7 linked regions of the Sus scrofa genome follow. The protein of the gene in region 2 interacts with the protein of the main gene of each other region in a biochemical or structural test. Links are inferred from orthologs where the notes say so. Each region holds a gene or a part of one and is shown on either strand. Other genes may lie near its edges. The genes, in order: KIRREL, TJP1, CGN, CLDN7, JAM2, JAM3 and CLDN4.

The links.
Region 1: the proteins of TJP1 (region 2) and KIRREL form a complex in vitro, tested with the Homo sapiens proteins (3 studies listed by BioGRID and IntAct, with this or other methods). The link is inferred for Sus scrofa from reciprocal best matches to the Homo sapiens genes TJP1 and KIRREL1.
Region 3: the proteins of TJP1 (region 2) and CGN form a complex in vitro, tested with the Homo sapiens proteins (2 studies listed by BioGRID and IntAct, with this or other methods). The link is inferred for Sus scrofa from reciprocal best matches to the Homo sapiens genes TJP1 and CGN.
Region 4: the proteins of TJP1 (region 2) and CLDN7 form a complex in vitro, tested with the Homo sapiens proteins (2 studies listed by BioGRID and IntAct, with this or other methods). The link is inferred for Sus scrofa from reciprocal best matches to the Homo sapiens genes TJP1 and CLDN7.
Region 5: the proteins of TJP1 (region 2) and JAM2 form a complex in vitro, tested with the Homo sapiens proteins (2 studies listed by BioGRID and IntAct, with this or other methods). The link is inferred for Sus scrofa from reciprocal best matches to the Homo sapiens genes TJP1 and JAM2.
Region 6: the proteins of TJP1 (region 2) and JAM3 form a complex in vitro, tested with the Homo sapiens proteins (2 studies listed by BioGRID and IntAct, with this or other methods). The link is inferred for Sus scrofa from reciprocal best matches to the Homo sapiens genes TJP1 and JAM3.
Region 7: the proteins of TJP1 (region 2) and CLDN4 form a complex in vitro, tested with the Homo sapiens proteins (2 studies listed by BioGRID and IntAct, with this or other methods). The link is inferred for Sus scrofa from reciprocal best matches to the Homo sapiens genes TJP1 and CLDN4.

The regions. Positions count from the first base shown.
Region 1 is NC_010446.5:92,288,088-92,292,358, forward strand, and holds the start of KIRREL (kin of IRRE-like protein 1), read right to left. Parts: upstream 2,801-4,271; 5' UTR 2,463-2,800; coding exon 2,411-2,462; intron 1-2,410. UniProt on the Homo sapiens protein: Required for proper function of the glomerular filtration barrier. It is involved in the maintenance of a stable podocyte architecture with interdigitating foot processes connected by specialized cell-cell junctions, known as the slit diaphragm.
Region 2 is NC_010443.5:145,193,058-145,197,084, forward strand, and holds the start of TJP1 (tight junction protein ZO-1), read right to left. Parts: upstream 2,801-4,027; 5' UTR 2,734-2,800; coding exon 2,561-2,733; intron 1-2,560. UniProt on the Homo sapiens protein: TJP1, TJP2, and TJP3 are closely related scaffolding proteins that link tight junction (TJ) transmembrane proteins such as claudins, junctional adhesion molecules, and occludin to the actin cytoskeleton.
Region 3 is NC_010446.5:97,709,999-97,713,498, forward strand, and holds part of CGN (cingulin), read right to left. Parts: intron 3,443-3,500; coding exon 3,236-3,442; intron 2,863-3,235; coding exon 2,605-2,862; intron 1,370-2,604; coding exon 1,199-1,369; intron 409-1,198; coding exon 247-408; intron 1-246. UniProt on the Homo sapiens protein: Probably plays a role in the formation and regulation of the tight junction (TJ) paracellular permeability barrier.
Region 4 is NC_010454.4:52,612,056-52,615,748, forward strand, and holds CLDN7 (claudin-7 precursor), read right to left. Parts: upstream 2,535-3,693; 5' UTR 2,363-2,534; coding exon 2,140-2,362; intron 1,304-2,139; coding exon 1,139-1,303; intron 1,012-1,138; coding exon 927-1,011; intron 842-926; coding exon 679-841; 3' UTR 501-678; downstream 1-500. UniProt on the Homo sapiens protein: Plays a major role in tight junction-specific obliteration of the intercellular space.
Region 5 is NC_010455.5:189,198,311-189,202,588, forward strand, and holds the start of JAM2 (junctional adhesion molecule B), read left to right. Parts: upstream 1-1,478; 5' UTR 1,479-2,019; coding exon 2,020-2,086; intron 2,087-4,278. UniProt on the Homo sapiens protein: Junctional adhesion protein that mediates heterotypic cell-cell interactions with its cognate receptor JAM3 to regulate different cellular processes. Plays a role in homing and mobilization of hematopoietic stem and progenitor cells within the bone marrow.
Region 6 is NC_010451.4:60,702,245-60,705,744, reverse strand, and holds part of JAM3 (junctional adhesion molecule C), read right to left. Parts: intron 3,492-3,500; coding exon 3,426-3,491; intron 2,956-3,425; coding exon 2,842-2,955; intron 1-2,841. UniProt on the Homo sapiens protein: Junctional adhesion protein that mediates heterotypic cell-cell interactions with its cognate receptor JAM2 to regulate different cellular processes. Plays a role in homing and mobilization of hematopoietic stem and progenitor cells within the bone marrow.
Region 7 is NC_010445.4:11,051,054-11,053,819, reverse strand, and holds CLDN4 (claudin-4), read right to left. Parts: upstream 1,540-2,766; 5' UTR 1,378-1,539; coding exon 748-1,377; 3' UTR 501-747; downstream 1-500. UniProt on the Homo sapiens protein: Can associate with other claudins to regulate tight junction structural and functional strand dynamics.

The sequences.
Region 1 (4,271 bases), on a different chromosome or scaffold from region 2:
TCTCACTGCCCCAGTCCCAGACCTAGAACTCTCTTTCTAAGGACAGAAACTGAGGAAGGAGGTCCTATCACCTTCCCCTCCGCCGGCCCCCCATGAGTGTCCCAGTCTCCCCAGATCCCCTCTCCTTCCCACCCTGCCTCCTCCCAGTCCTAGCTCAGCTTCCTAGGAACACTCAGGAGTGGCTTCCTCTCCCCTCCGCTCGGTCCCCTTGTTTCCCCCTTTGCTATCCCCTCCCCCCACCCCAAACACGTTTGCACACTTTCATCGGGTCCTGGAGGAGGCGACATGGGGGCTCAGCTAACCTCGACCCCTTCCCCCTCCCCCTCCCTTTTCGGAGGGAGAAAGGCACTCCACACACTTCTCCCAGCCCATTTCTGTCCCGACTCGATCCACATGCCTCTCCCGTTTGCTAACTGCAGCTTTTGTTCCTGGAAGCTTTTCGTATCCATGTTGCTGACACATTAGGGCTGCGGGAAAAGGGGCAGACCAAGGCCTGCCCCCATCACATACCAATACTGACCCAGCCGACCCCTCCCCCACCACCGTGGGCCCTCCCCTCTCCCCCCTTCACCCTCTCCAGCAGCCTGGCTGAACAAAGTCAGAACTTAAGTCATCTTCCCAACTTTCTGCCAAGTGGCTGGCTTGGCCTGCCAACCCCAGGGCCAGACCTCCTCTCCCTCGGCACCACCTCCCACTCCACTCACACCACAGATGCGCGCTCTTCCCAAATTCTGAGTGTGTGTGTGTGTGTGTGTGTCTGTGGGGGGGGGGTTGGGGGGCTCTAAGGGGATGGATGGGGACCCACCTCCACCAGCTCAGCCTGGCTTGGCCTTCAGAGCTGGGGAGGGGCCTGGCCAGGAGGGGAGGGGAGGGGTCCAGCATAACACCCCACCCCTAAACACACACCCACCAGCCCAGGAAGGGGATTGAGAGCAGGGCTAACCTGTCCAAGCTAACTTCCTTCTTCCTGGATTCCCACGGCCCCACCACCCCAAAAAAGGAGACCACCTCCTCCATTTTGTAGTCTGTACATCTCCATAGGTGTCTGCCTATATGAATGTCTCTTCAAGTTTCTTTGTTTGCTGGAGGGTTAGGTATCTGTAGCTGGGTTTCAGTGTGTGTGTGTGTGTGTGTGTGTGTGGTGTCCTTGTAAATGCCTGCCTGCATACATGTACTGTGTCTGTGAGTTTTGATGTGTTTGGGTGCATGAATGTGCACGCATGTGCCGATAAGGGGGAGGAACCTGTCTTCCTCAGATGTGTCAGTGTCTTTGTGTATATGTGTCTGTCTCCGTGTGGGGGATGCTCGCGGGTATGTCTGTCTCCATAGGTGAATAGTCTGTCTCAGTGTCTATGACTGGTTTTGGGTGTTTGTGTGTCAATTTCTGTGTGTCAGCTCCATTTGCGGGGCGGGGAGGGAGAAGGGGGAGCTAGCTCAGCAGGATTAAATCTTCCTTAGAGTCAGCCCCAGGAGACAAAAATCCACTCCCACAGACCCCAGTCTTGGCTGGAGTCTGGGCCCTGGATTTCTTCAGTTCCCCTGGCGGCCGCACGCGTCCCCTCCAGCCCAGCCTCAGGACACACTAACATTCTCATCCCCCTCCACCTCCCAGCCTCTCCCCTGCCAGTCCCAAAAAGAGCCCCGGCCATCCCCACTTTCCTGACCCCAAGTGGGGTGTTAGTTCCCCTGCAGGTGCCCCTTTCCATATCGCGCGGGCCTGAAGCTGCCTTTGGAACTCCGCTCCCGAGCCGGAGCCTCCGCGGGCAGGGGTTCAAATCCCCACCAGAGGCCCGGAGGCAACCCTCCCTTCCCCTGGAGGGGGCAGCCCCAGGCAGTCAGGAGCCGCGGCTCAGGCTCAGAACCCCCACCCCCACCCCGCCCCAGGGGTTCGGCTGGATGGAGGACAGGGATTCCCTCAGCTCCATCTTCCGGAGCAGGGGGTCCTCGGCTTTCCGCGCACCGCGCACCGCGCACCTCCCACCTCCCAGCATCTGAAATCCCACCCTCTCCGCAGCCTTCCCCCGGCCAGGACCCAGGCGTCCGGACTCCTGGCCTCAGAGGGTGGAGGCAGGCAGGGCTGCCAGAGGCTCCGGAAAAGACTTGGAGCCTCCGGATCCCTTTTCCACTCCGACCCCCGGCCCCCGCGGCCCCGATTCTCCGTTCTCCCGCGCAGCCAGAGGAAACAACTTGGGCAAATCAACGGAAAACTCCTCCGCGCCGGGCCCCGTTACTCCGCGCCCCCTCCCCCGGGACTCCGCGCTGGGCCCCAGCCCCCGCCTCGTGGCGTCTCCGACCGCCGGGACCTGCCGCGGGCCGCCCCCCCCCCAGTGCTCCCCACGGCGGGGGCGCAGAGCCCGGCCGGGGGGGTGGGGGTGGGAGCCGAGGGCAGCCGCGGGCGGGGGGCCCTTACCTTGGGAGAAAGTATCGGAGAGAGTGAGGATCCAGACGAGGAGGCTCAGCATGCTGTCCGCCCGCCGTGCGCCCGCCCGCGGCTGGGGCCCGGAGTTGGCGAGGGAGCGAGAGGAGCGGGCTGCGGAGGAGGGGAGCCCGGGAGCCCGCCCCCCACCGCCCGCGCCCGCCCCTACACACTCACACGCACACTCACTCGCGCGCACAAACTCACTTCCCTTCCCTCCGCTTCTCTTTATCTCTCTTTCCTCCCGGTCCCGTCCCTCTCCGTCTCCCCACCTCTCTCTCCCTCTTCTCTCTCTCCGCCCCCCTCTGTCCTTCCCCTCTCCCCTTTATTATTTCTCGCCTCTAGCTTTATCTCTCGGGGTCTCTTTCGGTCTCTGCTCTCCCTTTCTCTCCCCTTCTCTTCCTTCCCTCTCTCCCTCCTCTGTCCCTCCTCCTGACGTCTACTCTCCCTCCGACGGCGCCTCCCTCCACAGCCCTCCCCCCCCGCTCCCCCCACCGTGCGCGCGCGCGTACACACACACACACACACACTCACTCACACCCCTCGCTGGAACTGAGATGGACAGAGACCAAAAGAGAAAGCGGTGGAGGGCAAAAGGGGTAATGAACGTGACAGTCGCGGGCGCTGGGACGGCCGGATCCCTGCCCACCCGCACCTCCCCCCCATTTATATACACAACCTTAGTCCCGGGCTACGGAGCTAGGCATCAGATTGGGGAGGCGGGGCATGGGCTGAGGACGAGCCTTTAGCCCAGGGAATGACTGTGATGGGAAGGGTGTGTGAGTGTTTGTGTGTGTTTGGGTGTGTGTAAGCGTGTATGGGAGAGGAGGGGGTGGGCAGGCGCTGGTTCATGGAATCGAAAAGCATCAAATCTTTTTTTTATTTGTCAATTCCACACCCAGAATCTAACCCCTAGATCCCCCAAATTGGGAATTCTCAAAAGACTCATGAAGGTTAGGGGTGGAGAGGGATACACACTTCTTCCCACCTCCAAACCCCAAAGCTGGAGAATCCTAGAATTCTTGGACCTGCCCAGAGCCCCTGCCTCGGGGCCTCGCCGAGCACACAGTGGGACCAGACTGGGTTGGAGTCCTCAGCTGACTGGGGAGAGGCACAGTGGACTCCTGCCTTTGTTTATCTTGGGCACCTACCCATCCAGAGGAGAAAGGAGCCAACTGGAAGGCTTCAGAGGCCAAGGAGAGGGCAGCCACACGAAGATCTCCAAGCATAGAGTTGGAGATCCTTTGGGGTGGAGAGAGCTGGCTACAGGGAAGGGAGAGAAGTCCTAGTGAGAGGGATGAGGGCTTTCAGGAAGGGTTTCCTCTTTCTTAAAGGGCTCAGCTTAACACACAACCTCTCTCCCAAACTCCTTGATTCTGCATCTCACAGGGTTGGGGATGCTTGACCGCTGGGTCCTAGGGAGTGAGCTGAGGAGAAATAACAGAAATTGTACAGGAATTGCACAACTTTACAGTATTGTATTGGTCTGGAGAGGTCTCCTCTTCTTTCCTCCCAGATTCCTGGGTCCCTAACTCTACCCGCCAAGATTTCTGGATTTCAGCCCCGGAGCAAAGGCGCATGGCTCTCTGGTGCCCCCTGCTGGTTATATGCTGTTACAACACCTTCCACAGATTCTGACGCCAGCCTGAATGGTCCAAGCACATCCACATGTAGAGGACACAGAAACACAGACAGAAAAACACAAAAACTCATATTCAGAAACACACTATGCACAGACCCAGAGAGTCCTCCATATATTCAAAACCACATATGTACAGGCTAACAGACGGTTTAAAAACAAAGAGCATTCCTAACCCAGAGAAATGGGAATATAATCACAAATTCCTACAAACAG
Region 2 (4,027 bases):
ATACACAAATCATCAAAAAATACTAGAGCCCTGGAGAGTGTGCGCGCACCTTACTTTGCCCCTTGAAAAACCAGATGAACATCTGCAAATCTACTTAATATTGAGTGGAAATTCTGAATGCTCATTTAAGATTGTGGAAAAGCACAACAAAATCCTCCTGCTCTTTCCAGGCTGCCTCTTTTTAAGACGTTTTTTAATGCTAGCCCCAGTCACTGCCTGCCTTGAACGTGACTCTCTAGAGGAAAGATGTTCTTTGTGTTCTCTTCACAAACTCTTTATTGGGGAAAGCAGTTGTGAAAACCGCCCTCCAGTGATCAAAAAGAATAAACCTGCTTTCTTGACCTTGGGACCAATTGCTGCTAATATTCATACCTAACAGCTCCTCGAACATTATCTCCATATCTTGGTTTTTAGATGTAACATCAAAAAATTTTCCTTAACTTTCTTTCCCAGTTACATATTATTAAGAATTCATTTAGGAGTTCCCATCGTGGCTCAGCAGTAAGGAACCTGACTAGGATCCATCAGGATTCGGGTTTGATCCCTGGCCTTATTCAGTGGGTTAAGGATCCGGCATTGCTATGAGCTGTAGCTTAGGCTGGCAGCTACAGCTATGATTCGACCTCTAGCCTGGGAACTTCCATATGCCACAGGTGTCACCCTAAATAGACAAAAAAGAAAAAGAAAAAAGAATTCATTCATTTAGGATTCCTCCTGTGGCACAAAGGGATGGACAGCATCTCTGGGCTAGGACACAGGTTCAATCCCCAGCCTGGCACAGTGGGTTAAAGGATCTGGGGTTGTCGCAGTTGTGGCTCGGATCTGATCTCTGGCCCAGGAACCCCATGTGCCACAAAAAAGGGGAAAAAATCATTTATTCAATACACATCTTTTGAGAACTGATTTTGTACTAGACACTAGCTGCAAGGAATTCAGTAGTAAACAAAACAGACAAAAAGCCCTGGCCCCATGCAACTTACATTCTAGGGCGAGGGAGAAGTGACTTACATAAAACTTTAGTAAAATATGTAGTTTGTTCAATACTGATCAGCGCTCAGAAGAAAAGGTGGATGGGGATTAAGACTGTTGGTGTGGACCTCTGCTGTTTTTGCTGTAAACATTCATCTAAAAAGTTATCTTCAATTGTTACTTCTTTTTACTTCATAATATCACCATATCCTTTTTTTTCCCCTGCACTAGAGTCATGTGGAAATTGCCAGGGCCAGGGATCCAGCCCACACCACAGCAGCGACAACACTGGATCTTTAACCTGCTTCACCACAAGGAACTCCCCGTGACATATTTTTGATGTATTTACTAAAACCCTCTTCCATGAACATTTCTTAATTACAGCCAACTTTTATCAGCCTAGTCTTCCATGTGTTGACACTTGCTGTTCATCAAATTAAAATACCTTCTGCAGAATAAATTTCTGTTTTTAAACAACTGGGAGGCAGGGAGAGGAAGACACTAACATTTACTTGGCACCTACTATTTGGCCAGGCATAGAAGCAGGCAGGCACTTTGTATTTACCAGGGCTTCTGATCTCCATATGACCCCAAAAGATAGGTAACATCGTTCTCCTGTTACAGAGGAAGAAACAGATACTCCAGCAATTGTCTAAAGTCACACAGTAAGTGTGGCATGGCTGAAATTTGAACTTCGAGGCCCATATTTTTCAGTCTCTCCTCCAAAACTTTGCACTACTGGGATTTTTTTTTTTAATCTTCTGTTTTTCTTGGCTGATCGATCTTTATATTCTTTGGATCGTTATTACATTTTGTCTTATATAGCAAAAATTTTACTTTTCTCCAGTGCCTAAAAGCGGCCTCACATCCCTTCTCCATAACCTTAAAATTAAACTGGACTATGTTTAATGGAATCGAATAAACCTCTCTGAACCATATTAACCACAATTTAAAAAAACTTGAAGTGACCCCTGAACTCGAAGATCACTGGCACCTTTTTTCCCCCTACAGTCACCATCCCCTTACCTGAGCACTCCTTTTGCTATAGAACCTCACACCTAGGTCCTAAGTCGATGGAATGAATGCCTAGGTAGTCACTGGGATTTCACAGGGCATATTTAAACGCTAATAAAACGCAACACAATCAGAGATAATCAACTATGAACATCAGATATGGATAACCCCACATTTTCTTTCTTAGGGGTATTCTTCCCCATCACCCCAACAGCAGTTCCCAGGTTGGAAGAACTGGACCGCCCGCAGTAAATTACAGTCCCTGAAATCTCAACAATGACCCGCCACTGACGCCCCGAGCGAGGGAGCGGCGCGCCCTTGACCGCGGACCGGGCAGAGGATGGATTCTGAGAAAGCTCAGAAAGCGCTCGCTGATAATACACGGTTCGCTGCCTCCGCGTCAGCCCGGCTGGAGATTCTCAGCCAGAACCCGCAGCGGCGGAGACCCGGGGACCCGCCCCGCCGTCGGCTGCACACTCACGGTAGTCCAGGCGAGGGTCGTGAACGCGCCCCGCCCCCGTCCCCCCACCCCCTTCCCCGACCCTGGTCCGCGCACCCCGCGCCCCGCGGCCCTCACCACAGCTTCCTCTTGAGCGGCAGGAGGCTGCCGCGGTTGGACGGCGTGACGCCGATGGCCATCTGCAGCACCGTCAGGTATTTCTGGTACTTCATCTTGTCCCCGCTCCGCTCGCGGCCAGGGCCTCGCCGCCGCCGCCGGCGCCGCAGACACAGCCCCTCCAGGCGCCGCATAGGTCAGCCCTGGGCCATCCGCCGCCCCGCTCCGCCGCCAGGCTCCGCTTCCACCGCCGCCGCCGCCGCCGCCTGCGTGCCGGCCGTGCGCGTCCGGGCTCCCGTTCCCGCGTGCGTGCGTGGTCTCCGCTCCCGCCGCCGTGCGTGGCCGCCGCCCCCTTCCTCCCCTACCCACCCAGCTCCAGCCCCGCGCCGCGCGGCGCTTCACACCCGCCCGCGAGCCCGCGCCCGCCTCTGTGCCGCCGGCTCCCAACTGCGGGCGAGGCCGCCCCTCCAACCCCGCGCCGCCCCAGCGTCCTCCGGTCGCACAGCGCGTTCACTCCCACAAAATCCCAACCACAATCTTCCAGAGGAGAAAAAAAAATTTTTTTTTTTATAATTACTACTTGACACCATCATTTATGTGCTCCACCCAAAGTGTGTGCACGTGTTGTGTGTCTGTAAAATGCACGCACATACACATGCTGTTTGTATGTATAATATGTGTATATATGTCGGTCCTCTCTGGCAGGCAGACCAACTGTGGAAACAACCCTGAACCGTGCAAAACTATCTTAAAAAGAGTCGACGGGAAAAAATGAAGACTGTTACACCGACCTTGAAACATTTTGTCCAAACATTCCTAACTCTTCACTGGTGGTTATAAGTGTATAGAGAAATGGGAAAATAGCAAAGCGAATCATTTGTTGTACTGTAAAACAGTGCAAACGTTGAGAACTGAAGTGTTTTATTCCTTTTCTTGTCTTTTTAGGGCCACACGTAAGGCATATGGAAGTTCCTAGGCTAGGGGTCAAATTGGAGCTGTAGCTGCTGGCCAATGCCACAGCATAGCAATCCTAGGCCAAGAGCTGCGTCTGTCACCTACACTATAGCTCAACGTGGAATCCTTAACTCACTGATGGAGGCCAGGGATGCAAGCAGCATCTTCATGGATACTAGTCAGGTTCCTTACCTCTGAGCCACAGGGGAACTCCAAAGTGTTTTATTTCTTGCAACAAAAAAGTAACGAGTAACATAAAGGGTGCTTGTCTTTTCCTAGAAGAGTTGTTATATACCCACAGAGCCTGTTTTCTGTGTCTTGGCAAAGAGTCATGTTTGGATCACTTTCAAGATTTTATCCTCTGGGTGATCACTGTGGTAGAGTATATTAGAGTTCCTTTAGCCTTATGTCCTCTGGGACATCATCATCCTTTCTGTCACAGTCCACTGTCCTCATTCAAGCTTTCGTTTGGTACATTCCTCTGGCAGCATGTCCAGAGTCACTGGAAAGGTGGCAATGTCAGCATTCCCACAG
Region 3 (3,500 bases), on a different chromosome or scaffold from region 2:
CCCCAAATTTTATGTGACATCTATAAATTTCCAAACAGTAGCAATGAATTCAAAGTTGTTTAAAACACTGCAGTCAAACAAAATCCATCAGCTGTGGGCTGCTACTTCTCCATCCCTAGTATAGAAAGAGGCTTGGAGTATCCTGGCTCTTTTCCCCACAGATATCCCACCTGTGCCAGGATCCAGACCCCCCCACACCCCCCGCCACCCCAATCACCTTCCCTCTCCCACCCTCAGTGTCCTCACCTCAAGGCTCTTGAGTTGTCGGCTCTTATCGTCTTGGGAGCGTTTTTTGTTCTCTGCCTCTTGCTCGAGCCCCTGCAGCCGCTGGGCCAGCAGCTCTTTGTCCAGCCGGGCTGTGTCCCGATCAGCCTGGGATGCCTGCAGGGCCTGCCGCAGCCTCTGAGTCTGGTCAGAAAGGAAAAATGCAACAGCTCAGATAAGGTCAGGTGGAGGTTGAGGGGTGGGAGCAGTCCACCCTGCGGGGAGAAATAGTTCAACACTGACATTCTTAAGAATTGCCAGAACATGGTGGTAATAAAAAAGAATGACTTTTAGCCCATTTTCATTTTTGTCTTTTTAAAACCCTCCACACAAGTTTAAAGCACCTAAAGAGTTCTTAGACGATGGATCCTGGATCCCAGCCCCAGGAGTTAGGATTTAAGATGTACAGGATATATCTTGGGTATTGAGATTTTTTTTTTTTTTTTTTTTTTTTTTTTTGTCTTTTTAGGGCTGCACCCAGAGCATATGGAGGTTCCCAGGCTAGGGGTCTAATCAGAGCTGTAGCCACTGGCCTACACCACAGCCACAGCAACACAAAATCCAAGCCGTGTCTGTGACCTACACCACAGCTCATGGCAATGCTGGATCCTTAACCCAGTGAGTGAGGCCAGGGATCAAACCCGAGTCTCCATGGATGCTAGTCGGGTTCATTAACCACTGAGCCATGAAGGGAACTCCTGGTATTGAGATTTTTAAAACTCTCCCCAGGTGACCCTGATGTGCAGCAGAGTTTGCAAATCACACCTATACAGACGATGCATCCCCTACTGTCTGTACCTAGCTAGGGTGGACAACACCCCCCTGCCACCCAACTCTCCCACCTAAGTGATTATACCTAAACCCAGGTCCCAGGATCCCTTAAAGGACGCTGGAAGGGTTCCCACTCCATCCTCTGGCCATTTAAGGGTCCTACCTCATCCTGAAGCCGGCTCAGCCCCCCAGAGGTCTTCTCAGCCTCACTGGCCCACTCCTTGGCCTGGCGCTGGGCATCTGCTACCTCCCGCCGGGCCTTTTCCTTGTAATCCTCCAGCTGAGACTGGAGCTCCTGCAGGGCTTGCTTGGAGTCATCCCCAATCTGCTCCAGCTAAAACACAGAAAAAGAGTTATTTCAGCACTGCATCTCTTTAACAGACGCCTCTGTCCCTTCTCCAGGCTCAGACTCTCAAGACTCTCCCAGAGCCTCCTTCCTGCCAAAGCAGTTCTCTCTTCTCTTTCCTGGACCTAGGTCCCTAGTATAGCTGGTAGTAATATATAAATTTTCTGGATTCGAATCCTGGCTCTACCGCTTATTAGATGGGTCTGGGTCTCAGGTTCCCATCTGTAAAATGGGATGATAACAGTATCTCCATCACAAGGGTGTTGTAAGAATGTTAACTAATTATGTTAAAGTTATTTACAACAGTACCTGATACAAAGTAAACCCTAAATGACCACATTTCAGCAAACCCAAGATGCTAATGATTATTTTAAGACGTACCGCTAAAAGAAAAATCTGCCCGTTAAGCTATAACACATTCGTATAAGACACAAATCAATTTCATAGAGTTCCCGTCATGGCGCAGTGGTTAATGAATCCGACTAGGAACCATGAGGTTGCGGGTTCGATCCTTGGCCTTGCTCAGTGGGTTAAGGATCTGGCGTTGCCGTGAGCTGTGGTGTAGGTCACAGACCCGGCTCGCATCCCACGTTGCTGTGGCTCTGGCATAGGCCAGCAGCTACAGCTCCGATTAGACCCCTAGCCTGGGAACCTCTGTATGCCGTGGGAGCGGCCCTGGAAACAGGCAAAAAAAAACAAAAAACAAACGAAAAAAGACACAAATCAATTTCAGAGATGACACAATGTGCCTTTTAGAACAGATGAAACATATGATGTGTCTGCTCCAGTTTTACAGTGAGAGAGTAAGAGAACCTTAGCCCAAAAGAGCAGTTTCTTTCCTTTTCTTCCTTTCTTCCTTCCCTTCCCCCAAACATAAAAGTCTACCAATGAAAATTCTTATTTTAGGTCTTACAGATGCCTCAGGAGGGATTATAGGTCTTTTCTCTTCCTCCAAATATAAAACTCTACCAATGAACATTCTGCTCTTTGGGCCTATAGACTTCTAGGAGGAACTCCGGGAAATGTTCTCCAAGGATCAAGACCATCAGGGGAGGGAAGTAGGAAGGATGCCACTCTGAGGATCTGGCCTCGGCCTCCCCAACAATGAACTTGAGGAAAGCAGCCACCACACGATGTGACCCCAACTCCCACCCCCTGTCCCGCCAGGCAAGCTTCGATATGAGCGGAGCCTCTTCCTGAGCCCAGGCCGCCCCAGGCCCCACCTCCTTGTTCAGCCGGTCCACAGTCCGGTCCAGCAAGCGCTTCTGCTCCTCCAGCTCGGCTTTGCTGCGCCGGAGGGCCTCCCGCTGCTTCCCCTCCTCCTCTAGGGCCCTGTTCAGCGCCTGCTGCTCCTGCCCCAGGCGGGCCAGCCCCCGCTGGGCCTCCTCCAGCCGTGCCTCCAGGGCCCGCTTGGCTGCTGCCAGGCTCCCCTCCTCTTCCTGAGCTGTGTTCAGGGCCTCCTCTAGCCGCTGCTTCTCTGCCTGTGATGGGGAAGGAGAGAACCATTGGATGACAGGATGCGAACCTTGGGCTCAAGCCATTTGGAGGTGAGTGGATGGGAGGAAGGAGGAAGAGATGCTTGTTTTAAAAAGGTGGGCCACAAAAACAGGCTCAGAGGACCCAGCGAAGAACAGAGAACAGGCAAAAAGTAGATAGAAGACAGACAAAAATGCCAGTGACACTTGAGAAAGTCACACCAAAGCATACGCCAGGAAATAAACCCAAGGTTACCAGAAGGCTGGGAAGGCAAACAAAAGTACAGTCCACACAAAATCAAAGTGATGGCTGAGGATTTAGGCAGGGATGAGGAGACAGCGCCAGGAGGAAGCTAACAAGATCGGCGAAAGTACTGACCTCCAGCCGCTGCACCTTGTCCCGAAGCCGTGCCTCCGCCACTTCCCCGCCTTCCGCCAAGCCTCGCGCCTCCTTCAGTTGCTGCTCCAGACCCAGGATTCGCCGTCGGAATTCGTCGTTCTCCTCCTGGGTCTCCCGAAGTGTTGTTTCCACTGCCGTCCGACGCTGCCCCAGCACTGCTGCCTCTGCCTCTGCTGCCATCTGAGCCTGAGGCCGGTTCAGGGAGAGGAGGCTCAGACCCCAGGGCTCAAGGTCAACGACAACT
Region 4 (3,693 bases), on a different chromosome or scaffold from region 2:
TTCCTTTGTCTCTGGTGGCCTCACCCTGTCTCTGCCCCGACTTTGTTCCCTGAGTCTGAAGGCCCTGCCCTGTGACCCATGAGCCAGGCAGCAGCTTCCAGGTGGGACAGAAAGCAGGCGGGGGGGGGGGGGGGGGGGCAGAAGGGGAGGTGAGAGGATAGGAACAGCCCCATGCCCTTCCCCAGCCTAATAAAATCTTTATTTTTTAATTTAAAAAAAACCTCTTTGGTCACTATTTAAACAAGAGTTGGGAGCAAATGGGACTGGAGACTGGCAATAGTCCCTTTCGTCAAAATGGGGGGCCTGGGTGCCAGAAGGGTGGAGCTGGCAAGGCCTTGCACCCCATTGGTGGCAGGAAGTGATTTTTTTTTTAAACAAGTAGGTACACTTTAGGTTCTAGGCTCCCTGCAAGTACCTGAGTTGAAAGAAAGCAGATGCTCTGAAGGGAGAATAAAAGCCTACTTTCCAAAACATAGTTTTATTACTGTACAAAAAGCACACACTCTCCCCTTTTGGTCCCCCCTCCCAACCCCCCAGGAACTGTACACAGTGTGCCAGGCTGGAGTGACCGCAGGCTTCTGCTCCGCACTCTGCCCACGGGCTGAGCTCTCTGCCCCAGGTCCTTTCAGATGTCTGGGGTGCCCTATAGGCTGCCAGGCTGGGGCAGGGCAGCCCAGCTCACACGTACTCCTTGGCAGAATTGGGCTTAGGGTAGGAGCGGGGTGCACGGTACCCAGATTGGCCCTCACTCCCAGGACAAGAGCAAGAGAGCAGCGCACCTCCCAGGAGGACCAGAGAGGACCCTGCCCAGCCAATGAAGATGGCAGGGCCAAACTCATACCTGTGGAGAGATGGGACTGGGGTCAGAAGCCCTGGCCTGCCTCTCCGGACCCCAGACCCTTAGAAGGTAGGGCTCCCATACTTACTTCACGTTTGTGGGGACCAACGGGTTATAAAAGTCTGTGACAATCTGGTGGCCATACCAGGAGCAAGCTATCAACGCACAAAGACCTGGAGAAGAAATGAGGATTCAGACATTGTGAACACCCCCCCCAATCCAGTACCACGCCGGCCCTCACCACCCCCCAGGATGGGCCCGGAAGAGAGTCCCTGGGCCCACCGTAGACCTGTTGCTCACCTGCCACGATGAAAATGATGCCTCCAGTCATGGCTATACGGGCTTTCTTCACTTTGTCGTCTCCCCCACAGTTTGTACACTTCATGCCCATGGTTCCCACGAACATGGCCATCAAACCCAGCACCAGGGAGACCACCATTAGGGCTCGGGTGGCTTGCAGGGCCGCTGCGGAGAAGGCAAAAGGATGCCATCGTTGCTGGAAATGCCAGCGGCCCTCGGAGGGCTCCAGCCTCCTGAGTCGCTGACCGAGCCCCACTGGTCGCTAGTCTGGGGCCCCCTTGGCTCCCGGTCCCGGGCCAGAGCCGGTGGATCCCGCCCCTCCTGACTCCGCGGCCTTCCCGCTCCGCCCCGCCCTTTCGGCTCTAGGATCCGCCCGGGGCGCCAGGGTTTCGATGAAACTGCCCCAGGGAGGGGGAAGGGTGAAAGGGGACGTCGAAGAGGAGGCGAGCTGGTGGCCGCAGCCCCGGAACCCCGGCCGCGGATCCCGGCCCTCGTCCCAGCTCTGACCCCACTATCGAGGCCACGGTTTGTGGCTTTGGCTAATCGGCCGATAAGATTAGGAGCCGCAGGCAGCCGCCCAGGCCCGACAGGGCGCACGGCTCCTCGGCCCTCAGTCCGACCCGGCGGCCTCCAGCCCGACCCGGCGGCCTCCAGCCCAAGCCGCCTTTCGTCCGAGAAAAGGGCGGGAGAAGGCGGAGGCCGTTGCTTCCTTGGGGCGGGGGGAGGGGGGAAGGCCCGGCTCCCCGGGAGGCGCTAGGGCCGCCAAGCCGGGGACGAGGCTCCTCCAGGGCCAAGAGGAGAGCCGCGGGCCCGGGACGCGCGCACGTGCAGCCCCAGAGGCCCGCGGCCGGCCGACCCCACGGCTCCCGCCCGACCGCTTCCGCTTCCTCCTCTCCCACCTGCTCCCAGGCAACCCAGAAGGTCGGGCCCTGGGACCCCGCACGCCCCCCGCCCCAACCTCGGCCCTGGGCGCGTCCGCCCCGTCGGTCCCACGGCCTTACCGGACAGGGCGAGCACCGAGTCGTACGTTTTGCAGCTCATCATGCCTGTGCTCTGCGTGACGCAGTCCATCCATAGCCCCTTGTACATGGCCTGGGCCGTGATGATGTTGTCCCCCGCGTACGAGCTCATCTGCCACTGCGGGATGGCGGTGCAGGCCACCAGGCCCACCCAGCCCAGCAGAGCCATGGAAAAGCCCAGCAGTTGCAGGCCGGAGTTGGCCATTTCCGCCCTGAGAAAAGACGAGGGGCGCCGGGTGGGCGAATTTTAAGTCAGTCCAGGAGACAAAAAAAAGTTGGTGGTCAAGTGCCTGCAAATCTAGTCACCGAGGTAAACACAAATCGACCCCTGGGACGGGGGTGGGGGCGAAGAGGCCTCACAGCAGAGGGAACAGGGTTGGTGGCCGGCGAAAGCGATCCGCGAAGACCAGGCGGTTCCCTCCCGTGCGCTCGGCGACCCTCCCCAAACAAAGGTGGAGGGGCCGTAGGGGCGCGGTCCCGGAGTGGAAGTCCCAAGGTACCCTGGGCTCTCGGCCCGAGGCTGCAGTGCGAGGCCGAGGTCGCTCGGCGGTGAGCAGGCAGGTGCGGGCGCACAGGTGCGGCGCACCTGAGTATATGTAGGGCGTCGGGGGCGCGCCCCCGCGGGCTCTGGGAGCGCGAGGGGGGAGGGGCCGGAGGGGCGGCCGAGGGTGACCTGACGTCACCAAAGGGACACTCACCTGAGCCGGAAGTCCTGGCCCCCACCCCTCCCGGCCCAGGTAAAGAGGAAGAAACCTGAGCACCAGGGTCACGCCCCTCGACTAGCCGGGCTCAGACCGCCGGAGGGGAGGAGGCGGAGTCTGCGCCGGAGTCCCCAGCTTAGAGTAAGCCCCTCTGGACTGGAGGTCCCTGGGGCTCTAGGTTGTCCCTTGCCCTCTCCCCAACAGGTGCGCCAGGAACGCGGTGGAGCCGGAGCGGGGTGGGGGGGATGCCCCGGGCCAGCCTTGATGCCGCCTTTCCCGCCCGCGGGGACTCTCGGTTTCCACCCTAGGCGCTCTTTGTCCCGCCCTACTTTCGCCCTCATCCTCTGCGCTTCTCTTTTTCCCTTCAGCGTCCTCTCCTAGTAGCCAATCCCACCTGCAGGGGCTCTGGCTCCAATCCTTCAGAACTGCCCACAGCAGCGGGGTTGGCGTCCCCGTCCCTGCCTGACGTGACAGCGTTTGGGCCCTTGGTACCCCACGTCCCCAAGGTCACTGTCCCACCCCGCCTCAAGGGTGCTTATAGCAGAAGGAAGAAACCACTGAGCCGGAAGCCAGGCAAGGGTGGGAGCAGAGAAAGGCTGGGTCAGAGTCTTGGCCACACCTGTCATTCCCCTCCCTGGAGTCTTTGTGAGCCGTCCTCACCTTTCCTCTACCTCCTCCCTGAGCCCTGCACACACTTCTCTCCTTCCTTCTGATCCTGGACCTGCCTCTTTGTGCGTCCCCCCCACCCCTTCACCTTCGGTCTCCCAGGACGTCTTGGCTCTAATAGGGCCTTTAATTCAGCCCGCAGACTCCCACCTCACCCTCGGGTTTCTTC
Region 5 (4,278 bases), on a different chromosome or scaffold from region 2:
CCGTTTAAAATGTGGCTTAACTTTCCATGCCTAAATGGGAGGATGTGTGTACATTACATGCATCCCCAACATAGGAACATCCTCTTATCCTTGACCTTGAACAAGCTCCTTAGCATCTCTCAGACAGGTTGTCTCATCTGTAAAGTGGGAATGATAATATTTTCTCTCTTACAGAGTTGTTGGAGGATTAGATAGTGCCCTGTTCAGACTCTGCTGAGAAAGCACTCAATAAAAATCTTTTTTTCTGTCCCCCAGTAACACTTACCATGTGGTTTTAGAGGTCTTTCCAGATGGAACTCACTGTCTTTCCTCAAGACTGTGAGCTCATTAGCAGCAAAGACTCGATCTTGTAAATCACTGTCCTCCAGCATCCGGCACATCGCAGCTCTTTGACAAACACCTTGCCTGGTGACAGATAACGCAGTGAATCAGTTATTCACATAGGATGTCACAGAATTAAAAAAAAAAAAATTCCACTTTGTGTGTATCTGTAGGGAGGAAGGAGCAAAAGAAACAGTTGTGGCAAGAATGAGAAAAGAGGATGCCAACAACTTTTCTTCTGCAGCGTTAAATCTTTCTTGTCACAGCCCAGAAAAACTGGCATAAGCTCGTTGTTGTTCACGTCCTTTCTCCTTGCTCGACTGGGTACAGCTCTAACATTTTTGCCATTTCAATTTTCCTTTCTGGGTCCCCTCTGCCCCTCTCCCACCATGGGCGTTAAAGCCTCCATCACTGTCACCAAGGAAACAGTAGGGACGCCTCATTCCTCACAGCTCTGCATATCTGAACTCTGGCTGCCTTTGTCCACTGAGCTAAGCTAAATTCTTTGCGTGCACACCACTAAATCAACTGTCTTCTATGCAGAACTTTACCCATTATTCTACAGTTTAAAAAACACATGGGGAACAATTCCATCTCTTAGGAATGGCCTTTTTCCAGACCTGTCAATACTCTTAAATGCACCAGACATTTTTTGGTCCCTAGGAGGAAATTTTAAAATTTCCCGTTTAGCCCTTGTACTGTGTGCGATGTAAGTGCGGGTCAATTTTAAAGCACGCAACAGAGCATTCATAATGGGTTTCCCTTTTAAAAGCACTGTAGACCAAAAATAAACCTGACAAAGGGCAGCTGTAGAGTTTTAACATGTGGAAAACTCCACAGGCGGCAGTTATATAACTGAAAAGAAACATGATAAATATTTCACACCGTTAGATGAACTTCTGACACGTGGAAAGCAAGGAACACAAAACACAGCTTAACCCTCTAAGAAGCAGGAAACTTACACAGAGAAGGAGCCAAGGCGATGGCTAACATCTGAGACCTGCCTTCCAGCACGAGTCTCAATTGTTTTTTTTCCCCCCTTCGCCTCCAAGGCGGAGCCGGAGAACCCCATCTCCCCGGAGCGCCTCCCTCGCAGCTTCGCGGGTTGGCCAGAATTTTCCAAATATCTCCACCCCTAGGCTGAAAACCCCCAAAGAACTTTTGTGCGGAGGAGGAGAGGGGAGTTGGACCAAGGCAGGCGGAGTGCCCTCTTGCACCGTGCCCCACCCCCCTGATCCCGGCGGCCAGCGCCTCCCAAGCCCGGGCTCCTCGCCCTGGGGACAGCTGGCAGCCCCGCGCCGGACCAGACACAAAGCCGATCAATCCCGGCGGCGCGGGGGCGGGGGCCGCCCCGCCAGGGCTTCCCTTCCGCTCGTCGCCTCCTCCTGCCCCCTCGTTAGGACCCGGGCAACACCTCGTCCGGCTCCCACTGCCCGCCCCTTCTTACCCCCCCCCCAAAAAAAATAACTGCCCAGACCCTCAGGCCCCTGTCTAGGCCAGACCCGCCTCTAGGCAGCCCGCGGAGAAGGCGCCCCTGGAAAAGGGAAACTGACATCCCATCAGGGTCCGCCCCTCCCCTGCCCTGCACGCGTCTCTTCTCTCAGCCACCGAAGTTCAGGGAGTCCCCCGCCGGCCTCCAGCGGTCCCGCCACCAAGACCCTCGGCTTTCGAGGAGCCGCCAGCTCCGACCCCGCGAAGATGGCGAGGAGGAGCCGCCACCGCCTCCTCCTGCTGCTGCTGCGCTACCTGGTGGTCGCCCTGGACTGTAAGTTGCTGGGGGTACCTCCATCCTCCCACCCACTCCTGCGGAGACCACCTCCCCCAAACCTACAGCCCCTGGTCGCGGCGCTGGCGGCGGGCTGTCTCAGGGCTCTGGGCCGAGGGTTCTGCGGCCGGGTGTCTAACCAGACACTCAGCGAGCCCATAATCCGGGGTGCCAGCAGGGGCGGGGAGCCCGAGGTCTTCCTTTCCTTGTATATAGCATCTGCTTTTTGTCAGTACCAGTTAGAGAAAATTAAGAATCCACACCAGCAGGTTCTCACCTTCTTACAAAGTTGGGTTAAGTTTTCAAAGACACAGACACAGGGACGTGAACAGAATGCAAAACTCACTAACTCCTTAGAAGATGCTAAGATCCCAAGATGGCATCACTCAGAGCCAGGCGCCGGCCACCCTCTTAAGTGCCAGAGGAGGGGGCGGTGTTAAAGTATTTTTGGCTTCTGGGGGTCCCAGTTGCACCAGTCATATGTAGTGCACTTTTGGGTCAGGGGTGGGAGGGAATTCGGGGCTGCTGAGCCAGAATTACTTTTATCCTCGCCACCTGCACATCTACATTCAGTTAGAGGAGTCTGGTCTGGGCGCTCCAGCCAGCTGCTGTGTCCTCAAGCGACGTGCAAGGGGATGATTGTTAGAAAGATACAAAAGCCGAATGATAGAATAGCGGGAGACGTCCCAAAGCCAATTTCATGGGATGGTTCTAAACAGGATTTTCACGGATTCTGGGCTCATAAGATTTCAAATCCTCGCGTTAATTTTTTAGAAAAATGGAGGAAACGACAATAGCTCTTAAGCACTTCGGCACAGTTTTCCTTTTTTCTTTCGTTTTTCTTTCCTTTTATTTTTCATAGAATGGATTACTGTTATTGCTATCCAAGTTCTGGTAATATAATACTTAAAATAATCTGCCGGACGAGTGTCTAATACCACAATATAATGACTTTTTCTGGCTCTCTCATTGCCTAAGTGAGTATTGCCAAGCTCAGTGTGGTGTGGGTTTTTGTCCCTTAGTGGAAGGTCAAGTTGTCTCAGGGAAGGGACATGGGCTGCCCTATGTTATAAAAAATCAAACCAGAAAGTCAAGGCTTCACAATAAAACCACTATGCAATTTTTAAATATCAATTAGTATCATGTTGAACACAGAAAAAAAATTACTAATGCTGTCGAAGGCAACAAAGAAGCAGGTTGGAGATATTGTAACAAAACTGCTAGGAGAGTTATGTATTTTACTGACAGCCTTAAATTTCAAATAAAAAGGACTGACTTTAGTGGAGAATTATCACTAATTAAAAACAGAGAAAATGATTTTACTTTGGTATCTTGTTCAATAGTCAAAAATAGAAACAGACTACCTCTTTTTCAAGCTTTAGGTAAAGCTAACACATCGTTCCTTCTAATGCTGACTCCTGTAGGGATTAACTTGGAAGTGGGTAGTGATCCTTTCTGTATTGGTCCTGGGATGCCAGAAGGCCTAGTACTGCAAGAATGTTTTCTTCTATTTGTTTTTTGTTTTTTGTTTTTTTTTTTTTGAAAACAAACTTTTAAACTTTCATAGCAGTTTAGATTTAAAGAAAAATTACAAATGTGGTATAGAGAGTTCCCATACACACCACACCCACTCCCCCGTTATGAATATTTTACATTAGTATGATCCATTTGTCACAGTTAAGGAACCAATATTGATACTTTTTTTTTTTTGTCTTTTTTTGCCTTTTCTTGAGCTGCTCCCACGGCATATGGAGGTTCCCAGGCTAGGGGTCTAATCGAAGCTGCAGCCGCCGGCCTACGCCAGAGACACAGCAATGCGGGATCCGAGCCACATCTGCGACCCACACCGCAGCTCACGGCAACACTGGATCCTTAACCCACTGAGCAAGGCCAGGGATCAAACCCACAACCTCATGGTTTCCTAGTCAGAGTCGCTAACCACTGCACCATGACAGGAACTCCTGGGGATACATTATTTTTAACAGAAGTCCACACTTTATTCAGATTTCCTTCATCCTTCCCTAATGTCCTCTTCTGTTCCAGGCTCCCAGCCAGGACACCACCTTCCATTTAATAGTTCTGTATCCTGAGGCTCCTCTTAGCTGTGACAGTTTCTCACACGTCCCTTGTTTTTTGTCACTTTGACAGGTCTGAGGAGTATTAGTGAAATATTTTGTAGAATGTCCCTCAAC
Region 6 (3,500 bases), on a different chromosome or scaffold from region 2:
ATCTCCCCTTCCTCCCAAACACAAAGTTATATTGGCCTTCGATAGACTTTCATAACAAATTTAAAACTTTTAGGAGTTCCTATGTGGCTCAGATCAGAGATCCAGGGTTGTCACTGCAGCTTGGGTTCGAACCCTAGCCCAGGAACTTCCACATGCTGCAGGTGGATTCAAAACAAAAATGAAAACTTTTGTACTTCAAAGAACACAAGCAAGTGAGAAGATGGTCCGCTGAATGGGAGAAAGTATTTACAAATCATATATCTGATGAAGGACTAATATACTAGTATATAAAGAATTTGCCACTCAATAAATAGACAACCTAATTAAAAATGGACTAAGGATTTGAATAGACATTTCTCCAGAAAGATAGGCAAATACACAATAAGCATAAGATGCTCAACATCATTAGTTGCCAGGGAAATGCCAATTGAAACCATAATAAGCTACCGCTTCACAGCCCCTAGGATGGCTGGAATCAAAATGATGGATCACCCAGGTGTTTGGGGGACGTGAGAAAACACTGCTGAGGGAACATAAAACTGTGCACCATGGTGGGAAACAGTTTGGTGGTTTCTTTAAAAAATTATCCATGTGACATCAAACAACCCAGCAATTGTACTCCTGGCCATTATTCCCAAGTAGTGCAAAATTGCATTCACACAAAAACTGGTACAATGTTTATGAATATCATGGTAACAATCAGAAAGTGGAAACAACTCAAATATACAGCAGTGGATGAAATGGATTTAAAATGTGGCATATTGGAGTTCCCGTCGTGGTGCAGTGGTTAACGAATCCGACTAGGAACCATGAGGTTGCGGGTTCGGTCCCTGCCCTTGCTCAGTGGGTTAACGATCCGGCGTTGCCGTGAGCTGTGGTGTAGGTTGCAGACGTGGCTCGGATCCCGCGTTGCTGTGGCTCTGGCGTAGGCCGGTGGCTACAGCTCCGATTCAACCCCTAGCCTGGGAACCTCCATATGCCGCGGGGAGCGGCCCAAGAAATAGCAACAACAACAATAACAACAACAACAACAAAATAATAAAATAAAATAAAATGTGGCATATCTACAACAATATGATTCACTGATAGAAAAAAGAACAGAGAACAGACACTTGCTACAGCACAGATGAACCTTGAAAACAATATGCTGAGTGAAAGAAGCCAGGACCAAATCCTGTGTGATTCCATTTATAGGAAGCATCCGGAACAGACAAATCCAGAGACAAAGTAGCTCGGGGGCCGCCAGACAGAGAAACGGGGTGGACACAGGGTCTCTTTGTGGAGGGGAAGAAGTGCTGGAATTTGACATTGTGGTCACATTATCTTTGCTGAATGTATTAACCCAGTACACACTTCAAAACAGAATATGAATTACTGTATCTCAATTAAAACACTTAAAAGACATAGTAACTCTTTTCAAAGGATTAAGATCCCAGGCAGTGACAAATAGGGAAGGAATTCGAAAAAAAATTGACACAAAAATGAGGACTGAATTATTACTAAACCTGCCAACTGGTGACAAGTATAGGAAAGATTTACCAGAACGTAATAACCACAGCAAAAGGCTCGTGATAAGAGGACGAACATTTCCAAAGGTGCTTTCTACGGGGAAGGCTGTCATCTGGTCGTCATCGGGGTCAGAATGTCCACCATATGAGGAAACAGTCAAGACAAATCCGCATAAAGCAGGAGACCATGAGCTTCAAGCTTTTGTCCAGGCCTCTAATTTGTATGGTACGGACCCCTCCCCTTTCCCCTCCAAGAGGAAGGTGTTTAATTCCCAGAAACACATTCCCACCCGGTCAGGGCTCATCAGGAATCGCCCAATGAGGCTGCCAGAGAGTAACAATTCCATCTCTACAAAAAATGAGAGGCGGGGAGGACACTGTGGGAAAACAAAGCTATTTCTAAGAGCCCATGACCCCTGATGATGTGGGGGAGCTGAGGCAGAAAGGTCAGGGGCTTCGGTTGTTTCCACAAAGCCTCCCTCCCTTCCCTGAAACCTCCAGTCAGTTCTCAGAGGGCCTGTGGTGGCCTTCTGCCCCATCACCTCTGAAGCTGTGCTGACCCCCTCACACACACTGCTCCCTGGGAGTAACCGCCCCACCCCATCTCAGCTCCTCTCAGCTCTCTCCACATGACCCTGGCCTCACTCCTGGCCTCTGCAGAAGAATCCCGAACTGGGCCCTGCCCTGCAGAGCAACCACCTCGGTGTCCTGGGGAGAGCTTTCAAGCGCCTGGGGCCTCAGTTCCTGCCCTCGCCTGGCTCACAGCTGAGCCTGCGGTTCCTCCTAGAAGCTCACTTTGCTTCCACTCTTCTGCATGTGCTCCTGGCCCAGCCCCTGCCTGCAGCCCCCGCCTGACCAGCTCACCTCCCTTGACACCTCCGCCTGGATGGCACTCCTGGGGAAGCATCCCCTGACCACTGAGCTGCCCCTGTCATGCGAGGGTGCTGACATCCAGCTGACTGCCTTCCTAGGAGGAGCACAGTGGACACTGCTTTCCTCCTGCTGCTCCGTAGGGTTCATTATAAGTCATTTAGCTTATAATGTTGTGGGTCATGATGGGGAAGTGGCATAGGAAAACCTTCCTCTGATACCTCAAAATGATGGCTGCATGTGGGCTAAAACTCTAACTGACAAAGTGATATTTACTGAACCAGGTGACACGTTCAGGGAGGCTCCCTTCACCATTCTCACTACTGCAAGCTTGAATTTTCCATAAGTAAAACAAGACAGAAAACCAATCCTGGCCACACACACAGGTCCAGTCAGAGCAAAGTCTTGGCCACAAATGCATGCCTGGGCCTTCTGTACAAAGGAAAGGACCACAGGATCATACCCTGAATTTTGTTGTCAAAAAACACATATGAGGTTTGTTCATCTTGAATTTTCTTCCATTCAATCCTGGGGTCATTTGTCTGTGAATCCGTAATGATACAAGAGAGTTCCACACCTAATGAGAAGAGGAAAAAAAGAACTCTTAGTGTTTGTGGAGCAATGTTAGGTTAACTTGTATACTCAGACCCTGCAAGCTACATCTATTTAGGTCTGTCCTGCAGTTTAAAAATCTAGCTAGCTCCAGGCTCCAAGAGACTTTAATTTTAGCCAGAAAAACAATTAAGATGATTAGCAGAGACTTTTACTAAAGAGAGTACATGCTTCCCCTGATATATATTCTTGTATATAAGAATGTTGTTGGTTGTGTAAATGCAAAGCTAGGCCAGGAATCAGAGTTTAGCCAACAGGAAGCCTGCAGAGCTCCCCAGAGGCTACTGAAGCAGTGCTATCCTGGCACCGTGTCCGCTAAGAAACCCCACCCCCACCTCCAGCTTTTGGACATGAAACATCCGTGGGCCTCTGTCCCTCACTGGCTGCAAGTCTACCAAGTAGTGCCCATTCGCTGAATGCCTCCCTAGTACTTACTTTCAAATTCCTGTACCACTGGGTTTCGGTTGCTGGATTTGAGATTCACGGCCCCTGTCAAGCAGCCTGAAGGAA
Region 7 (2,766 bases), on a different chromosome or scaffold from region 2:
GCTTCCTGGCTGAGGGCCAGAGGAAGACTGTCCTCCCTGCCCTCCCCAGGCTAGTCAATGACCTTGGCAGGGGTGGAAGATTCCAGAGGTGGCCAGTCTCCGAGGGGCCCAGGGTCCGCCCGCTGAGGTTGCAGAGGCAGAGCCCTGAGGTGGCAGGGTGGGGGCAGGAAGGGGTGCGGGCCACCTGGACAGCCTCTGTGGCCCCCTCCCCCACCACTACCCAAACCAGTTTGTAGCACCTCTGCCCCTCCCCTCTAAACCTGTCTGTCCACACCACTCCGGTGACTGTGTTCCACGGGCAGGTGGGTGAGCAAGGCAGCCGATCTCATGGCCACAGGTTTCTGTGGGCAAGGCACAGCCCAAGTGCTGGCTGACCCACCCAGAGGATGCCGGCGGAGGCAGTGGGGAAGGTCAAAGGAGGAGACATTGTCCACTCAGAGGCAGAGCCCACGCAAAGTCAGGGCTGAGCTGTCCTGGCCAGCAGGAGCCAGCCCCCAGTATCCACAGCCATTCAGAGGAGGGCAGCGCAGGAGTCTCTTTCCATCCATCCTTGCTAGCATTGGAAGTGGCCTTGGGAAGGTGTCCGAGAGGGTCAGAAGGCGCTGAGGGGCCTCTGGCCAGCGGCCCGGCTCAGTCCCTGCTTGCCCAGCCCTGGCAGCCTGCGGCCCGTGGCAGGGCCATTCTGGAGTCACAGATTGCAGTCCAGGGAGAAACCAAGCTGAAAGGAAAAGAATCGGCGGTAGCACCTTACACGTAGTTGCTGGCGGGGGCGGAGCGGGCGGCGGAGTACTTGGCTGAGTAGGGCTTGTCGGTACGGGGTGGGCAGTTGCAGCAAAGCAGGGCGCCACCGAGCATCAGCAGGCCAGAGGCAGCCCAGCCGATGTAGAGCGAGGCACCCATCTCCCGCTTCTGGCCCGAGGCCACCAGGGGATTGTAGAAGTCGCGGATGACATTGTGGGCGGTCCAGGACACGGGCACCATCACCAGCAGGCCGGCCAGCAGGAACACCACACCGGCCACGATCATGGTCTTGGCCTTGGCGCTCTCATCATCCACGCAGTTGGTGCACTTGCCGCCCACCACCGACAGCAGCACACCTAGCACGGCCAGGATGATACAGATGACGATGAGGGCGCGGGCCGCCTGCAGGTCCTGCGGCAGCGCCAGCAGCGAGTCGTACACCTTGCACTGCATCTGGCCCGTGCTCTGCACCACGCAGTTCATCCACAGGCCCTCCCAGATGGTCTGCGACGTGACGATGTTGCTGCCGATGAAGGCCGTGACGCGCCACATGGGCAGCGCGCAGCTCAGGATGGCCCCCAGCCAGCCCAGAACGGCCAGGGCGATACCCATCACCTGCAGCCCCATGGAAGCCATGGCTCAGGCTCTGCTGGGGTCTAGGAGCTGGAAGGAAGGCTGTGGGGTCCGGCCCTGGAGGCTGTTAGAGTCCAGACACCTGAACACCGATGGCCAGTCAGCGTCCGAAGAGAGGCTTTTCACCGCAAGTCCAGAGGCAAAGCCGATTGAAGCGTCTCTCCTGAGTCAGAGGCACAAGCCCAGCAAGCGCTCGCAGACTAGTTCCTTCCTGCCGCCAAAGTGCCACCTGCTCACAGAGTGGAGAGGTTATATGGTGCTGCGGGGGAGGGGCGGGGGCGAGGGAGGGGTTTCAGTCGCAGGAGCCGCCCCCCTGACCAGTTTCTCTAGATTCCTGAGCCTGCCAACAAAGGCACTTTAAGGCCCCAGCCCTGGGCCCCTGAGTCATGACCCTGGAGAGCCAGTATCAGAGGAAACTGCCCTTTCCCCCGGCCCCCAGGCCCATGCTGAAGTCACACGGGAGACAGACACTGAGTCACAGCCTACACGCACCTGGACATACCTGGGGGGCCGGAAGGGGAGCCTTCAGGTCCGGGACCTGAGGTCCTGGGTCCCCACCCCCCGGGGCTCCATCATTCCAGGCTTGGGTGGGTGGATGGCGGGGGCGGGGGCGGGAGCGGAGACCCTCAGGGAGAGGATCTGAGGATGCAGCCCTGGGGACTTCAGAGGGCAGCTGTACCCTGATCCCTGCAATGAGTCCTTATCAGCTTATCCGTCACTGGTCTGATAATGGCTATTAAGAGCCTCACCATCCATGCATCCGCCTCACCAGGGAGGGACCAGCTTAAGGAACCAGGAGCTGGGGGGCCTGGGCTCCTGGGTCCATCACCTGCCCTCCCCATCCCTCGGCACCATCATCTGGCTTCCCAGCCCTGCTGGAGGAGGAGGGGTCTGGGAGGTGATGCTCCTTCGGACAAAGAAAGAAGGAAGGCTGCCGGCCCCTGCCCCCCGACATTTCCACCAGTTCCTGCCAGAGCTGAGCCTCTTTGGCCAAAACTGGGTTGGGGAGGTCGCTGAGAGCAAACCGTGGCCAGACCCTGGGACCTCAGCCCAGCAAATGGGTGTTTACTCAGTGAAGACACACAAAACCGTCGTCCGATAAAGGCAGGATGGGAGCAAAGTCCCCTGTGACCTGGAAGGGGAGGGGGAGCTCAGAGCAGATGGGGTTCCAGGAAAAGGGGCTCAACAGGCAGGGGGAGCTCCTTGGCACAACTCCAGGGGGCGCTAACTTCTTGGCCTGTGCTGAGGAGGACTCTGATGGCAGAAATCACCGGGGACGGGCCGCCTGGAGTTGTGCAAGGCTGGGGGACGAGGTGAAGGGGACGGAACAATGAGGACAAAGGTGCCCGAGGTGTGGAAAGGCAGCAAGTTCTGGGAACCAGAACAGATTCA